Bombyx mori: one gene and its partners. The protein of the gene in region 3 purifies or fractionates together with the protein of the main gene of each other region. This does not show direct contact. Links are inferred from orthologs where the notes say so. Each region holds a gene or a part of one and is shown on either strand. Other genes may lie near its edges.

Region 1 (2,351 bases), on a different chromosome or scaffold from region 3:
CTACAAAGCTATAAATTTTGGGGAGTGTGGTATCAGCGCCGCGCCGGTGTGCGTGTAAAAGAAAAGCGCGCCCGGGCGTTCGTTGATCCGAGCATCAGCTGTTTTTGATTTTGTGTTTCATTGCTGGTTTTAATAAAAAGTATTAATAATAATTAATGTATTTTTTATGAAACTATCATTTCATTTAGCCGACTAACTTGACGGAGCGTAAACAATGCGTTTAAAAATATGTTTTTTTTTTTAAATCAGCATCGATTTTTTTTCCTTCCCATCATCAAAGGTGTCTTTAGTAGTACTCTGTCTTCGGAAACGATCTCCTAATACCCAGTATAGGCACACAATAAATGAAATCCAAATTTTTTATTGTCATATAAGCGTACTTTGTATTTTGTATTCCAGATATCGAATGGCCAGAAGGTGACGAAGCGTTATCGCCCGAAGCTGTGAGTTCTATCGAGGCTCTACTGACGATGGAGCCGGCGGAGCGCCCGGCCGCCGCCGACGTGCGGGCCATGCCCTTGTTCAGAAACGTTGACTGGGAGAACCAACTCAACACGGAACCGCCATTCGTTCCCACGCCCGACGATTTACATGACACAGGATACTTCCAAGGTACACTACAGACAACGTTAGCTCCTTAAACAATTGTATTATGGGGGAATCTGAATGCGGGAATTGTGGTAGCCGAAGTTCTTGATGCGCTGATGATGTAGTGTGAAGACTGCAGTTGTTCCGTCGCAGGTCACCCATATAGGGATACACGACGGCGGGAAGATTTTACACCAAGCGTGTGATATTTTGCTCGGTAGACCGACGATCCAAATGTTTTTTTTTTTATTTCTACCTATGCTGATAGCCTTGAGAGGCTATTTCAGCGTAACCTTAACTAGTAGGTGAGCTCACGGGGCACAAACCTGACGACGTTGCTAACACGAACCCTAGCAAGACTCGTGCTTCACAGAATCTACCACCGGATCGGAAACGCGACCCACTGAGAAGATCCGGCGAGAAACTCAGTGGGCTGTGTCTGTGGGATAATTTTCTCGTCGAGACCTTCGTCGCAAGCGACGGGTTCGACGAGAACGATGACCGGTCCCACATGTTGTCGTTCGGAACTTGTATATATGCAAGCTTATCTTGAAAATGTCGTAAGCGAGATTCAGGCATCTGTCAAATATCTTGTGTTCTGTGATGACTACCGCCACAGCTTAAAGAATATTTTTGTAAAAACAACTATAAAGAAATTGAGAAATGTCGTAATAATAGTTATTTTAAAAAAATATTGCACAAAGTAGGTGCACAGCAGAAACATCTCTTTCGCATGTCTGCACATAAATAGAACTAACGTCATGCTACTCAATGTGCATTATTTTTCTTATTTCGACAACTACCCACACGAATCTGAAAAGAATTTACGTTACTTATTTTTGACGAAATTCCTATATTTATTTCTATTTAAAAATTCTAATTTACATTCAATTGTAAATTATCATCATTTAACTAATAACTTTTTGTTTCAGCCCGCAATATTTTACAACAACTCCAAGTATCAAATTTCGACATATAATTTTAAATGTTCATGATAAACCTTTAACTAGTTGAGAATGTTAGCTGCATAATAATGATCAGCGTGTTAATCTATATGAAAAGTATAAATGTTATAATGTATTTATAAATAACGTTGTAATAAAATTATATTATTAAGTCCTTTATTCTGAAGACTGATTTTGTGTCATTATTATTAACAATATGTATTATCGTTTCAGAACAAAAAATGTATCTTTCACAGCATAGGTGCTTCAATTATATGAATAAATTTAATCTAACACAAAATAAAACGATTATTGAAAAGTTTACGTATTTTATTTTAGAAACTTAAGCTAAATTGGCACATTTCGTTGTCAAAATAAAATATCAATTCATTGAGAAAAGCAAGCTTAAGGTTGTTTTTCTCAAAATAATTGAAATAAAATATTTTTATGTTTTTCATAACGGCATCCAATTTTCTACCGTTATAACGTTTTATATATTTTCCTCACTTGGAGTTCTTCTGTATCCAAGGTAGGAATGCAGTGATGCGTGTGTATACACCTGGGTACTGTCCTTTACCGCAACCGATACCCCATGATACGATTCCGACTTGGTTCCACGTACCACCTTCGTTGACCATCAGTGGCCCGCCACTATCACCCTAAAATTTAAAAAGACGAGTTGTATAAACTAGTAAAGCTATTGTTCCATGAAAAGAAAGAAAGTTGAGATAATGGCGGTGAAAGTAAATGCAAATTTTCAGACCAAATCTATCAATTCTGCTATCGTGTTAATGAGGCACGTGTAACTTAAGGGGACCA
Region 2 (3,688 bases), on a different chromosome or scaffold from region 3:
TAATAATAGTTAATAGTAATACACAAAGGTTTAGTTCGATCGAGTCCCATCTAATTTGTACATGCAAGATGTTTGTATTGGGTTTGGGTATACTCGTTTTCGTTTCTTATTTTTGTTTTCACAACACAGAAAAAGATCTTTGCTTCTTGTAGAGTCATGTAATGTAATTATTCTTAAAAATAATTTGAACACAACGCATACATTTTATACAGTGCAGAACAGCACTGTATTTGTCGAGTTCAAGTCTAAGGATTGAGGCCGGACACTCTGTTTTTTTTTTATTGCTTAGATGGGTGGACGAGCTCACAGCCCACCTGGTGTTAAGTGGTTACTGGAGCCCATAGACATCCACAACGTAAATGCGCCACCCACCTTGAGATATAAGTTCTAAGGTCTCTTGTATAGTTACAAGGGCTGCCCCACCCTTCAAACTGAAACGCATTACTGCTTCACGGCAGAAATAGGCAGGGTGGTGGTACCCACCCGCGCGGACTCACAAGAGGTCCGACCACCAATAAACCAGTGAAATATCTTGGTCTTGATACATTTTATTACCATTTAACTAATCTCAGTGTAACTTATATTTCAGACGAGGAGAGCTCCGGTATGCACAAGTCTGCCGTAGTGAGCTGGTACCTAGAACAGCTGGTGGCACAAGGACAAATCGAAAGCGAAGACGAGTTACTTGAACGAAAGACACTAGTTGAGAAAGTCATTGATAGACTTATGTACCATGTAAGTGTCTTTTGTGTTTGTGTGTGTGTTTTTAAGCTATTGCATAGCTTTTACCGTGGCAGTTCCCGAGTGCCACACGTTCTTTTTTTATATTATACTATGTTAATTTAAAAATGTACCCTTAATTATCCATTGATTATATTTATACCTAGTCAGGTCATAAATTCTGTCACATGTTTAATGTAAAATAATTGAAACAAGTTTATTCATTATGTAACCATTCATATACCAAAATGAACTTAACAAAACATAGATTCTTATGACACTAAGGTTTATTCAAAATGACCTCCGTGATTTTGAATACAGGCCTTCAATCTGCGCGGCCAGTCGTCTATCGCAGCACGAACGAGGTCCATGTCAATATCGGCGGCTGCCTTAATCAAGGATGTCTTGAGTGACTCCAAATTGGGATGAGGCTTTGAGCACGCCTTTTCCTCCAAGTGTTGCCATATCTTGTAATCTAACGGATTCAAATCTGTACTGGAGGAGGGCCAGTCTTCGTGCCGGATGAAGTCGATTTCACGCGCCGCCAGCCAGTCTTGTGTGCTCTTCGCTCTATGAGCTGGCGCTGAATCTTGTTGGAATATCCAGTGCCTGTTTATTGAACATGGTATGAGAAACAGGTTCCACAAGGTTCGTCAGGACTGTATTTTGATACACAACTGCATTCGTTTTTACAACTTTCTCACAAAAATGTACCTCTGTTAAGCCCCAATAAGAAACTCCCAACCATACCATGAGCGAGGATGGAAAATGACCTCGTTGGACACGCGGAATACGGTTGCTCGCTTCTTCACTACTGTGTGCGTACACCTTATCATTTTGTTTGTTGTAGCTCTCTTCTACGGTAAACATTTTTTCATCCGAAAAAAGAATTTCCCGATATTTTTTTCCCGCGTACCGCTTCAACAAAGAGCGGCATCTCTTCAGTCTCAGGTCCATTAGACGAGCATTCAAATGATGTCCTGTTTTTCTTCGATATGCCCGAAGCCCTAAGTCTTCATTTAACACCCTTTTCACCGTGGTTCTGCTTAACCCCATCTGAAGGGCCAACAGTTTCTGCTTACGTTTGGGATTTCTTTGAATTCGCGGTTTCACAGCTTTTATCACTGCTGGAGTCCTAACAGACCGAGGGCGACTTCTTGACCTGTCATCTACACTAGAGTCTTCATTGTATCGTTTGATGGTACGATAAATGAATCTTTTGGTTATATTAAAATTTTTCAGTATGTTAAAAATTTGAATTGGCGCGTAACCGCAACGATGCAACGCAATAACTGCAACACGGTCTTCTTTAAGCGTCCACTCCATATTTAAAAATGAGTAAAATTCTACAAGTATACATTTTTATTTTCATGAACAATTCGAAATTCGAATTCAATAAACTTTTTTGTGGCCAGCATTCTAAAAGAAAAGTTTTTACTGTGTGACAATACTTATGACCTGACTAGTTATATACGTATTTTTTTTTTGTATAAAATAGTAATGTTGTCAGTATATAAATTTTTTTTATTGCCTTTGTAGGCAGACGAGCATACGGCCCACCTGATGGTAAGTGGTCACCTTTGCTCATGGTCGTCAGCAATGACAGGGGCAGAGCCAAGTCGCTGCCTACAGGTCTACGCTGTCTATAGAATCGTATACTTAGTCTACTACTGCATTAAAATATGTTGTTACATAATAGATAGGTACTATTGTTACACGGTCATAATCCATGGGTGATACGGTCCTAGCTATTATTTTGACCTTAAAGCAATTGGAAGCTTAAGCAATTAGTTTCAATGTATTATACATAACTGTGATAGTTAAAAGAGATTTCCTTAAATAATTAATATAAATGTAGTTGTTATAAATAGACACAAGTAAAAATACAAAAAACGACAAATAAATATCTGTAGCTTAAAAAAGTAAAAGTAAAAAGTAAAGTTTAGAAAAAAAACTAGTCTCGTTCTTATGATCTAGAATTATGTAAACGATCTTGATGGATAGAAGGAATGTATTTCCAATGTAATTGAGATATTGACCTCGTGTCAATGTGATCAGCGGTCGTAAGCTAATCTGCCCGGCGACGTCACAACACCTAAGGGGTGACCATTTATATATAGGCTTGTGAAAAGTATTAAACGGTAGGCAGTGGCTTGGCTCTGCCCCTGGCGTTGCTGAAGTCCATGGGCGACGGTATCCACCCGCCATCAGGTGGGCCGTATGCTCGTCTGCCTACAAGGGCAATAACAGATAAAATAAATAAATAAAACACTCAAGTATTTACACTATTGTTTTCTTTTATTTATTTCAGGATCAAGTAATAATACCTTTATCAACGACCGGACTCAGAGGAACTCAGAAGTCGTCGGAACAAGACATAGAAGACGATCCGTTATTAGTCGTGCATCCAAATTATGTTGTCGACGCGTAATTCCTAAGCTCAATATAGTTTAAAAAAAAAAACGAAATCCACCTTTTTTTTCTCCTACCTAAGCTGTGAGCCTTGAGAGGCTATATCAGCGTAACCTTAACTAGTAGGTGAGCTCACGGGGCTCAAACCTGACGACGTTGCTAACACGAACTCTAGCAAGAGCCGTGCTTCGCAGAATCTACCACCGGATCGGAAACGCGACCCAATGAGAAGATCCGGCGAGAAATTCAGTGGGCTGTGTCTGAGGGTTAATCCACCCTTTTTCTTTCGTCACAGCAAATGATATCAAAGTCAGAAATGTTTTGTATATTGAGTGCCTAAAAGGGGAACGCGCGTCTGATTCAACGCAGCCAGGTAGAGCGGTGGAACTCTTAAGAAACCCTACCGTCAGTTCGTGAGTTCTTAATGCTCATAAACTAAGTGATAATTTATTGACATGATCATGAGTTTCTTTGTCAGTTAGAAAAATTTAATTAAATAGATATGATTGCGAATATAGTCCGCCTCGGTGTTTTTTTTATTAGCCGTGTAGGCAGA
Region 3 (4,056 bases):
AAAATCAATACTTCTTATATAATTTATTTTAATAAATTGTCATAATCAGAAACTAATTTCACCATAACTTTGTACGTTTATTTTGAACAAATTTAATTTTTGACGTTGATGGAAATTCTAAATTGTCGCAACATTTTCTAGTTAAGTTTAAGTCACATCGTTTAAATAATATGTATTTAGACATATTATTGTCATAAAATGTTTAAAATCCTGTAAAGTTGATTGATTTTAACCTTTTCGATAATTTTCTACAACGCCCAAGCTACTAAAAAATCCACTAACCACTAAAAGCCATTTTTGATAACTAAGACGGGGGTCCGAATTCCGAGATTTTATGGAAAATCCTCTAAGCTAGCAACACTGCTTTTTGTTTGTAAAATGTGCGAGAGGGACACCACCACTTAATAATCATTCTCTTTTCAGACCGTTTTTCCTTACATCTTTTGCTATTTAAAAATAAACTTTAAGTCATAGAGATAAAGTATATTTTTAGTTTTTATGTCAAACGAAGTAAGCACTCCAGTTAGAATAGTAACTCTATGGTCTATGGTTATACACCATTAAAATTTTTAACACACGCACACTTTGTCAACAGGAACAAAAACATCTGCACTTGTACTTGTGTACAACAAAAAAAAACACAAAACTTGGCTTTTGAGAAAAAAAGTGTATGAAAAACAGTAAAAAAGGATATTAAACATTAAAATTATAAATAGCTTTCAATTAATATTCACATATTCTCAATATTGACGGCAAGCTGAATCGATAGAAAGAACTTTTTAGCAGGCTTCAACAATAATTTCGTGATCAGGAAGTGCCGCAAAAATCATTACAGAAACTGTCTTTCTTTATTGTTACTCGCTCACTAATGCAGTTTTAATTAAAATGAATTATCTTACTCTTACCTATACAACATTGCAGTTTCAAATCATAAACTCCTTGTAGGTATAGTCTAAGATTTTTGCCATTTCGATTTATTGCACTGATTTCTGTGCAGCCTGTACAGCCAAAAAACATTTTTACAATATGGTATAACATTTTTACAAACCTAGCAACACTGGTATAAGCATCGCGGCGCCCTATTGGTTGAAAATTAAAAACCGTTCAAAACGGCCTTCAAACTTTGAAGTTAATTGAAGTTCAAACGTATGGCCGTTTGAGATCCCCTTTGTTAATTTGTCAACAATTACTTTTAGTGAACTTTACTGTTATTTAATATTATTTGACTGTAGTTTATATTTTTAAGCTAGCTAAAAATGACGTCGATCAAGGAAGATGAAAAGAAAGAAATCCCCGAAATCATTCACGATCCACAAACTAACAGCACCTACCAAAGATTACGGTTTTTTGGCAAGGTAAGTACTTACTGTATCTACGTTATTCGAAACACTTTAATTTTAAATAGGGATATAATGTATACATACTCTGTTCTTTTATACATTTAAAGCACTAATAATATTCTGTACACGAAGTACAAAAATGTATATTTTAGTAACCGTCTCATTGAATACATAAAAAAGTTCAACGCCGCCCAGCATGCACCTGTTTCGAAATAGCCTGACTACAGACATATAAAAATGCAGATCAATATAACTGAAGTTTGTCAGTCGAATTTGCATATCATTAATTCAACAGAAATTAACGACACGTATAGAATATGTGTGCATAACTGATATGCGAAACACAAGCAATGACGAAAATTTTAAATTAAAGCTTATATTTCTGTTAACACAATGATCGTTTTTAGGGTGGCTTTGCAAAATGCTACGAGATCCAAGACATAGCCTCCAACCAGATATATGCTGGAAAAATTGTTTCAAAGAAACTAATAGTGAAGTCATCGCACAAAGAGAAGATGGCTCAAGAGATCTCCATTCACAGGTCTCTCCAGCACAAGCATGTAGTTGGCTTCCACAGTTTCTTCGAGGACTCTTTGAATATTTATATAATATTGGAGCTTTGTAAAAAACGGGCAAGTATCATGCATATTTTAATTTTTTGTCAATTGATCTTGTCCAAAAAACTGAATAACAATTTAAGTTAAAAATTCATACGATTCTAAGGTATGGAAATGAATTAGATGGTTGATAGTTTCCGAGCCCATGTTCCATTTGATTCTCATACAGTCACCAAAGCCTCGGAATAACATTTATGTGATTAACAATAACTTGTTGATACACCAGTACAAAAATGGAGAAAAGAACTCTTAAGTAAAATTATAAAAAAAAAATCTCTTAAACTCTTGAGTCTTGGAAAATTAAATATTCTTTAATTTTCCACATCATGAAAAATATATATTTCATTTTAATATTTATGAAATACACTCAAGTACCATTAAAAATAAGACAGCTTGATTATGTGAATTGCATGTTATGATGTGCAATTGACATGGGAAACAATCAATAAACATAAGTAGTTGACTTAAAAATTTTGGGAAATTTATGACTGTGAATGCATTAAACATTTTACTTTAAACTATCTATGAAGCTGAACATAACAGTAAAATTTTGGTTGAACACTACGAATTATATATTAAACTGTCCAATAAATTGATAAATTCTGCGATTTTTTATTTTAGTTCTTATAGTTATATTCCCTTTACTGTTAAAACTACTTCTACCTTGCATTGTAGAATGGAGACAAAAGCAAGGCAAATCAAGTTTACTAAAAAAGATAATTAATTTTACATGAATTCTTTTGAAATATTTTTGTAAAAATAGTAAGTAAAGCAGCTTTCTGATGTCAGATTTTCATATTACCCACATTTTAATAATGCCATTAAGAATTTATAAAATTTAGATGAGTTTTAGCATCACTAACAATATATATTAATTTAGTTTAGGATATTTTAGTTGATATTTTGAATATATTTTGCAATACTATTCTGAAATAAAATTGATGAGGCCTATTTATTTGTTACTGCCCATGAGTACTCCTGAGTAGCTTATTATGTTGCTTTCATCATGTCTCCGTTTAAATGAATGCAAAACATATTTTCACTACCTATAAATCAACAAAATGTTTGATATCCAATAGCCTAATAAAACCACTCTTACAGTCGATGATGGAGCTTCACAAGCGTAGAAAAGCAATTACAGAACCAGAGACTAGGTTCTACATGCACCAGATACTGCTTGGCGTGCAATATCTCCATAGTAAGAGGATAATACACCGAGACTTGAAACTTGGCAATTTGTTCCTTGATGACGATCTTCATGTAAAAATTGGAGATTTTGGTCTTGCAGCAAGGATTGAATATGAAGGTAATTATAGGCCTACTCGATAGTGATCTTCTATCACATTGTAGTGATAAAAGTTTTTAATGAAGGCATGACTACAACTTTTTACAATTTTATCATGCAAACACTCTGCTTAAAGAACTGAAACCATTTTTTTATACCTAAGAATAACCTTGAGATTCAATTTCCTTTTCAACCTTTCTGAAAGTAATCATTCTCAGAAATATAAACATGAAGTGTGCGCCCATAGTTGTAATTCTGATGCTAAGGATTTCTCGTTTTTGAACTTGAAACAACAAAATGAACTTTCATAGGAGAGAGAAAACAGACTCTGTGTGGTACCCCAAACTACATTGCCCCTGAGATATTAACAAAGAAGGGCCACTCATTTGAAGTGGATATCTGGAGTCTGGGCTGCATCATGTACACGCTGCTTGTTGGCAAACCGCCGTTTGAGACGTCCACCCTCAAGGATACATACAAAAGGATTAAACAGTGCGAATACAGGTGATTTTTTTTTAATATAAATCTGTATGGATATCATCATTATTATAGTATTAAAAAGTATATATAGAATATTGATTTCAGCATTGATTACAATACGAAAAATATATACGTGATCATGGATAACATGTTATGTTAATATATTATATTTTAGAAAGTTATCAAAGAGAATATTAACAATAGATAATGTTATTGTTCCAACCAGTGAGGCAGTAGAGGTAGCGATGCGCGTTTGTCTCGGGGGCCCTTGGAACCATTTACGTAGTCGCTACGCGCGAACGTTAATCGACGATAACACCCTCAAACTACAATA
Region 4 (3,500 bases), on a different chromosome or scaffold from region 3:
TGTCAAGTTTATCTCAATAAGCGGATCGGAACTGTTTTGGAAATATTCGCGTGTAGCTATTTAGTAATATCGACAGTCCACAGGTCTTGAAACGGAAGTAATAACCGTTGATACCGGGAATACCGTTGTCAACATGCGGCTTTTATCGAGTCACACATTGACAATGTTTATAATATAGTATAATAAAAACATACCACGCTCATAAAGCACTAAAAATGGGAAGGTCTGTTCCACGAATGCCAATATCAGTGCTAATGGTTGTTGACTCGTGTCAACTGGACGTGTTTCTAACGACAAATGGGTTAAAATACCAAATTTCATGAGATTACTTAAAGCTTAAACACATTCTTAAATTGTCAAGCATGGTATTTTAACATTATGTATTTTTTTAATATTCACGTCTCAGATAAAAAGTAACTATAATAATTTGGGATCTCTTTCAACTACGCCACCAAAAAAGAGTAATGCACTACTGATTTACTGATGGTAGGACCTCTTGTGAATCCGCGCGGGTCGGTACCACCACCCTGCCTGTTTCGCCGTGAAGTGTTGAATGAGTTTCGGTTTGAAGGGTGGGGCAGCCGTTGTAACTATACTGAGACCTTAGAACTTATATCTCAAGATGGGTAGCGCATTTACGTTGTAGATGTCTATGGGCTCCAGTGACCACTTAACACCAGGTGGGCTGTGAGATCGTCCACCCATCTAAGCAATAAAAAATAAAAAAGAATTACCTTGGGTTTTTATTTTTTACTTATTTATTTATTTATAACTTTATATACTAGACAGTCTAAAGGCGGACTTAATGCCATAGGCATTCTCTGACGGTCTACCTTAGGGGGGTGCAGAGATGAACCTTGGTAGGTGTAGTGTGATAATGATATTACTTAAGCATATGTGTATATACTATTTATAGATACAAATACTCGTACTTAAATAAATACATATACATAAATATATACATATAAAAATATATATAAATAAATATTATCAATTAGATGACTATCAATTAGAAATAAAGATTCTTTAAATAAATATTATCAATTAGATGACTTTATCAATTAGAAATAAAGATTATTTTTCTTCCTACGATCTAGATTTTGTTTTGTTAATTTATCTATTAACTGCCGCAGCTCCGCCACGAGCTGGACCGAGTGGTGAGTGAACGCGACCGTCTCCTGACGGAAAGTTCGGAGCTTGGCGCCGACAAAGCGACGCGCGAGTCCGAACGCGCCGCCCTAAGAGCCGAGCTGCGGGAGGCGCGGCGGCGAGAGCAGCGGCAGCTCAGCGACATCACCGACCTGGAGGATGAGAACATCTCGCTACAGAAGCAAGTCTCAGCACTGAGGTCGTCGCAGGTCAGTACTCGGCACACGACGGCGACACGTTGTAATGTTGTATTCCATCTATACTTCTATACTAATATTATAAAGAGGAAAGATTTGTTTGTTTGTATTGAATAGGCTCCGAAACTACTGAACCGATTTGAAAAATTCTTCCACTGTTTGGAAGCTACACTATTCCCGAGTGAAATAACGGCTAAAATCTTTTTTGAAAAATATTAGGGATCCTTACTAAAACTCCAATAATGTAACCCAAGGTGTAAAAAAATTACCTAAAATATTCTTTACATCCCATGCCCTGCGAAAACTATTGATGATAGAATAAAATAATGTACTACGGCTTTGTAGAACACATTATTATTTACAAAAAGTGTCGCAACATCATATGTCTAACTATTATAGCTATACCGCAATATGTGTTCTTTTATTTAAAAAAAAACAACGTCAAATATCGTTGAAATTTTTGTTAAAGACGCGAGCGGAGCTGGAGTGGGCCGCTAGTGCTTAATAATCATCTTAATCCTAGTTTACAATTATGAAGAAGCCTATGTTTCTGGGTGGTCCGCATTATTAGGGTGACATACGAGATTACACCTATTAATTATGTTATATACTAAATGCTATGCTAATACTATGCTATAATATATAAGTATACACACTTCAATGTATCCCGATGCTGCTTTCGTTAGATGTTGCACTCGATACTACAACTTTATGTCCGCAAGTCCGAGCGTATTTGATCGCTTCGTTGGTCAAGCGGCTTCTTCAACCTCGTAAATAATATATTCAGTAGTGGTGTTCTTGTTTCGTATATAAAGGTTTCCGGAACCCCCAAGAAAATCCAAAATCGGGAATGCTACTACATATGGCTTGTTAATTATTTTGATTACTACCTGGTCCTGTTTCTGACGAGTGGAAAATATCAAATCTGTACTTGGAGTTTGGGGGGAGGGACGCGGTTCGCTAATTCGCGGCTTCCTACCTAAGCTGATAGCCTTGAGAGGCTATTTCAGCGTAACCTTAACTAGTAGGTGAGCTCACGGGGCTCAAACCGGAGTGATGCTAACACTGACCCTAGCAGGAGCAGTGCTTCGCAGAATCTACCACCGGATCGGAAACGCGACCCACTGAGAAGATCCGGCTAGTAACTCAGTGGGCTGGGTTTCACTAGCCAAGCATCCTCGCACCTCAATCCGTATGCGTTAATACAGAAAAAGTTATCACTTTATCGTGTTATCTGATTGCACCAGGTGGAATTCGAAGGATTGAAATATGAAGCTCGTCAACTCCGCGAGGAGGCGGAGGCGGCCCGCGCGACCGCCGAGGAGACGGCGGCCCTGCGGCGCATCGCCGAGCGGCAGCTGGCCGAGGCGCTGGAGGCGCTGCAGGCTGAGAGGGAAGCCAAGTTCGCCGCCAAGAAGGAGCTGGACGCGCACCTCAGCAAGGAGGCGGCGTACAACATTACGAACCTCGCCTACACTATCCGAGGTAAGAAGACAACAACAATAGATGTTGTTTTTTTAAAGTGAAACTTCTTTAGAATCGTTGTGATTTCAAACTCGATGAAACGAAAAAGTAAGTCCATAGAGACACAAACACGTAAATGTATAGGATTCAGCCGGCGAGAGAATGAGATAGAACACATTAGACGTTCTCAGTGTAGTGTTTTTTTTAATACAGCGCCATCTATGAGATTTTTTAATACTAACGTGTGTATGAAACCTCTTGTAGTGAATCTTAATTTAGGATTATACGTGAAGTTAAAATATCAATTCACAGAGGGCGCTACCTCATACTATAAAAAATGATTTACAATTATTTACTAATGACAAAATTTTATATGTACTTAGACATTTACGATAATTCTATTTTAATTTTGTTGCTTAGATGGGTGGACGATCTCACAACCCACCTGGTTTTAAGTGGTTACTGGATCTCATAGACATCTACGACGTAAATGCGCCACCCACCTTGAGATATCAGTTCTAAGGTCTCAATATAGTTACAAACCGAAACGCATTACTGCTTCACGGCAGAAATAGGCAGGGCGGTGGTACCTACCCAAGCGGATTATAATTTTGCGGGTTTGATTTTTATTACACGACGTTACTCCTTCACCGTGGAAGTCAATCGTGAACATTTGTCGAGTACGTATTT
Region 5 (3,500 bases), on a different chromosome or scaffold from region 3:
ACACTAGGACCAATTATACAGCAAGTTTACATAGATATTTAAATGGTTAAAACGGTATGCAGTTTTGTGGCAGTCAGCGTCACGGCTGTGGCCTTGGCATTGCTGTCGTCTATGATCAACGGGAACCACTCACCACCAGATGGGCTGTATGCTCGTTTTGCCTACAAAGCATATACGAAAGAAGCTTCGCTAATAATATTTCTAAGCTTTTTAATACGCTTTTATTAGCTTCAGACGTATGTATGTTTGTAACTGAATCTTTGAACATGAGTTTGCGTGGGGTGCGTGGTATCAGTAGTTATAAATATTTTATGAACAGATATGAGTAGAAGGGTTATTTTGATAATATTTTTTACAATAAAATCATTTTTTCTTACACTATTTCTAATTCAAATTTATTAAAATTTATTTTCTATTTCTTAGTTGGATTTTCTATAAAAGCGTATTTTGTTAGTTTTTTTTTAACTATTATTTATTTAAATTCAATGTTAAGTAATACATTTACGCAAGTACACGATGATAAACACAAATCGAATCTTAGTTTTAAGACAATCAAAACGATTTTTCTTTTCAGGTAACAGCATAAAATCGATAGAGCATTTGAATAACAACATGCATTTGGAACATTTGGATCTATCAAACAATCAGATCTCGTTCATAGCCGATATCTCTTATTTGAAGAATTTAAAGGTATGTAATAGAAATATAATCATCGCTTCACGAAGGAGTTTTAAATAACTAAATGCAGACACTAGAATTTAGCGCATTTTCTTCTTATTATCATTGTTAATATTATTATTACAATAATTAGTTTAATATAGAGGTAACTAAAACTTATAGTCCCATAAATAGCTAAAATAATCAACACGTTACAAGGTAACAGTAGATTTACATTGATCCATCTGTTTGACGATCGCAATGTAGAATCGCAAAATCGACGCGCTCCAGTGACATTTGGTGGTTGGAACTGACATTCGGTCTAGTTTGGGCAGTGTCAAGCAGTCAAGCGCTTAGGTTTGATGGGAACGTCTATCGTGAATATAAAATGAGACTTCAACCTCGTATTTCAAGATGGGTAGTAGCATTTTTTTTTTCTTGGATGGGTGGGCGAGTTCACAGTCCACCTGGTGTTAAGTGGTTACTGGAGCCTGTAGTGGACTGTATGATTAAGATGGGCAAGGAACTTGATAAATAAATTCGCGAGGATTGCACGTATAAAATTTGTATATTTTTACAATTTCATAAATCGCGTACAATAGCACGGATGAAAAGAGAATTACAAAACTATGACATTCCAAAATTCCAATTCAAATGTAATGTCAGAAACCACAACCACAACAATAAAAAAGGTTTTATACCAATTTTGTTGGGTTTCCAACAGAGCCCATAGACATTTACAACGTAAATGCGCCACCCACCTTGAGACATAAGTTCTAAGGTCTCAGGTATAGTTACAACGGCTACCCCACCCTTCAAACCGAAACGCATTACTGCTTCACGGCAGAAATAAACAGGATGGTGGTACCTACCCGCGCGGACTCTCAAGAGGTCCTACCACCAGTAATTATGTCATTTTTAACACCAATTTCATGTCATAAGCTCACTAAGGTTATAGGCTCATTCATCAACGCAACGAAAAAAATTTGCAGTTGTTAAAAGAAAGTGTCTTTATAAGAATGTCGTGAAAAGCCTTTTCGTCCAAATGAACCAATAGCAATATAGTCTTAGAAATGATAATTCTCAATCGTGAATCACTAAAATGCCTAAAAGATGGCTATGGTATTTTATGTCAATGGGCTCTCTGGTAATAGCAGGTGGGTCATAAGCTCACTAAGGTCATAGGCTCACTCATCCATGCAACGTAAAAAATGTGTGGTTGCAAAAAAAACTGCCTATATAAGAGTGTTATGAAGGGTAATTTCTTCCAAGCGAACCAGTAGCAATGTAATGTTAGAAATGAAGTTGATTCTCAATTGCGAAATACTAAACTGCCTAAAGGGTTAAGCTAATAAGTCCTTAAAATTTAATATTAAACAGACTGCACTGCTTTAGTGCAACATAGATGACTTGTCTCATCAAACTATTATCAAGCGGAAGATCTTTCGCCTTCACTTTATTCCTTCATGGACCATAATTCGCGAGTGTCGCGTGTTCGGAACTATTGCAGAGTAATATTTATGTTAATTACCACAAACGCGATTTGAATTTTTGTCTGATATCTAACTATAGTGGGTAATTAATTGCCAATGCAATATGTCCATACAAGACAACCGTTGCCGAATCATAACTCTCCAGATAAAAGACGTTTTTATTGTCCCAAATATCAAACATTCGACCTCGGATCTGTTTAAAAAATTACTCTACTGTAATACGTACTCAACAAATTAATGTTCACGATTGACATCCACGGTGAAGGAATAACATCGTGTAATAAAAATGAAACCCGCAAAATTATAGTTTGCGTAATTACTGGTGGTAGGATCTCTTGTGAGTCCGCACGGGTAGGTACCACCACCCCGCCTATTTCTGCCGTGAAGCAGTAATGCGTTTCGGTTTGAAGGGTGGGGCAGCCGTTGTAATTGTACTTGAGACCTTAGAACTTATATGCCAAGGTGGGTGGCGCATTTACGTGGTAGATGTCTATGGGCTCCAGTAACCACTTAACACCAGGTGGGCTGTGAGCTCCTCCAACCATCTAAGCAATAAATAAAAAAATTGTAAAGTTCATAATTTTCTTCGTCTTTCAGTATCTAAGCTTAGAAAGGAATCGTATAATAGATTTGCGTCAGTGCGATCGCTACCTACCCTCGAATCTAGTGCATTTCGGCGTCGCCCACAACAACATACAGGACCTCAACGAAATATGTCATCTGGTGCACTTGAGTAACTTAGAAAGCTTCACAATACAAGGGAACCCCTGCGTCTCCATGGCGGGGAAAGATAAACTGTATCCTTTTGTCAATGAAACTGCTTGAACGTAGGGAGGTTCTCGATTTGGAGCAGATGTTTTTCAAATAAATATACATATCTATATACTTTATATGTAAATCTACAGTGGTTTTTACGGATGTTCCGTTATAACTACTGAACCGTGCATCCGATTGACTTGAAACTTGGTATCCATGTAGAAAACACATGTACTTAATGGATAGACTAATATTTATATGAGTGTTGGACTCTAATAATGACAATTATTAATAATATTAATTCTAAATGCCCAGCGGAGCGGGCGAGTACGGCTAGTATATACATATATGTAAAGAAAAACCTTTTTATGTAATTTTTGTATAAAACCATTTTAGTTTTTTTTTAAATGATTTATTTTATATAGATTGACTGAACTCTCCGTTATTGAGAAAAAAAACGAGTTCACATTTATTTAATTCAAAAATACTGTGTAAAATAAGTTGTGGAAAATAAAAAAGGCTTTAAATGTTGTTTTCTTATTATTGTACAGAAAACGTAATTAAATCTTTTATTATTGTTTAACTATTTTTAGA

Evidence for each region. The genes of interacting proteins can lie anywhere in the genome.
Region 1: the proteins of serine/threonine-protein kinase polo (region 3) and serine/threonine-protein kinase greatwall purify together in Homo sapiens (affinity purification with mass spectrometry; 3 studies listed by BioGRID and IntAct, with this or other methods). This does not show direct contact. The link is inferred for Bombyx mori from reciprocal best matches to the Homo sapiens genes PLK1 and MASTL.
Region 2: the proteins of serine/threonine-protein kinase polo (region 3) and DNA replication licensing factor Mcm6 purify together in Homo sapiens (affinity purification with mass spectrometry; 3 studies listed by BioGRID and IntAct, with this or other methods). This does not show direct contact. The link is inferred for Bombyx mori from reciprocal best matches to the Homo sapiens genes PLK1 and MCM6.
Region 4: the proteins of serine/threonine-protein kinase polo (region 3) and protein bicaudal D purify together in Homo sapiens (affinity purification with mass spectrometry; 6 studies listed by BioGRID and IntAct, counting the BioPlex papers as one, with this or other methods). This does not show direct contact. The link is inferred for Bombyx mori from reciprocal best matches to the Homo sapiens genes PLK1 and BICD2.
Region 5: the proteins of serine/threonine-protein kinase polo (region 3) and centrosomal protein of 97 kDa purify together in Homo sapiens (affinity purification with mass spectrometry; 4 studies listed by BioGRID and IntAct, with this or other methods). This does not show direct contact. The link is inferred for Bombyx mori from reciprocal best matches to the Homo sapiens genes PLK1 and CEP97.

What each region holds. Positions count from the first base shown.
Region 1 is NC_085111.1:9,215,376-9,217,726, reverse strand, and holds the end of serine/threonine-protein kinase greatwall, read left to right. Parts: intron 1-399; coding exon 400-612; intron 613-1,520; coding exon 1,521-1,567; 3' UTR 1,568-1,851; downstream 1,852-2,351. Other genes in the region: proclotting enzyme, read right to left, coding at 2,036-2,191. UniProt on the Homo sapiens protein: Serine/threonine kinase that plays a key role in M phase by acting as a regulator of mitosis entry and maintenance.
Region 2 is NC_085132.1:5,453,839-5,457,526, reverse strand, and holds the end of DNA replication licensing factor Mcm6, read left to right. Parts: intron 1-589; coding exon 590-735; intron 736-3,031; coding exon 3,032-3,151; 3' UTR 3,152-3,188; downstream 3,189-3,688. UniProt on the Homo sapiens protein: Acts as a component of the MCM2-7 complex (MCM complex) which is the replicative helicase essential for 'once per cell cycle' DNA replication initiation and elongation in eukaryotic cells.
Region 3 is NC_085121.1:12,620,914-12,624,969, forward strand, and holds the start of serine/threonine-protein kinase polo, read left to right. Parts: upstream 1-1,256; coding exon 1,257-1,355; intron 1,356-1,747; coding exon 1,748-1,972; intron 1,973-3,058; coding exon 3,059-3,263; intron 3,264-3,553; coding exon 3,554-3,746; intron 3,747-3,948; coding exon of another isoform or gene 3,949-4,056. UniProt on the Homo sapiens protein: Serine/threonine-protein kinase that performs several important functions throughout M phase of the cell cycle, including the regulation of centrosome maturation and spindle assembly, the removal of cohesins from chromosome arms, the inactivation of anaphase-promoting complex/cyclosome (APC/C) inhibitors, and the regulation of mitotic exit and cytokinesis.
Region 4 is NC_085125.1:2,127,102-2,130,601, forward strand, and holds part of protein bicaudal D, read left to right. Parts: intron 1-1,133; coding exon 1,134-1,358; intron 1,359-2,593; coding exon 2,594-2,831; intron 2,832-3,500. UniProt on the Homo sapiens protein: Acts as an adapter protein linking the dynein motor complex to various cargos and converts dynein from a non-processive to a highly processive motor in the presence of dynactin.
Region 5 is NC_085120.1:10,922,642-10,926,141, forward strand, and holds part of centrosomal protein of 97 kDa, read left to right. Parts: intron 1-574; coding exon 575-690; intron 691-2,747; coding exon 2,748-2,947; intron 2,948-3,500. UniProt on the Homo sapiens protein: Acts as a key negative regulator of ciliogenesis in collaboration with CCP110 by capping the mother centriole thereby preventing cilia formation. Required for recruitment of CCP110 to the centrosome.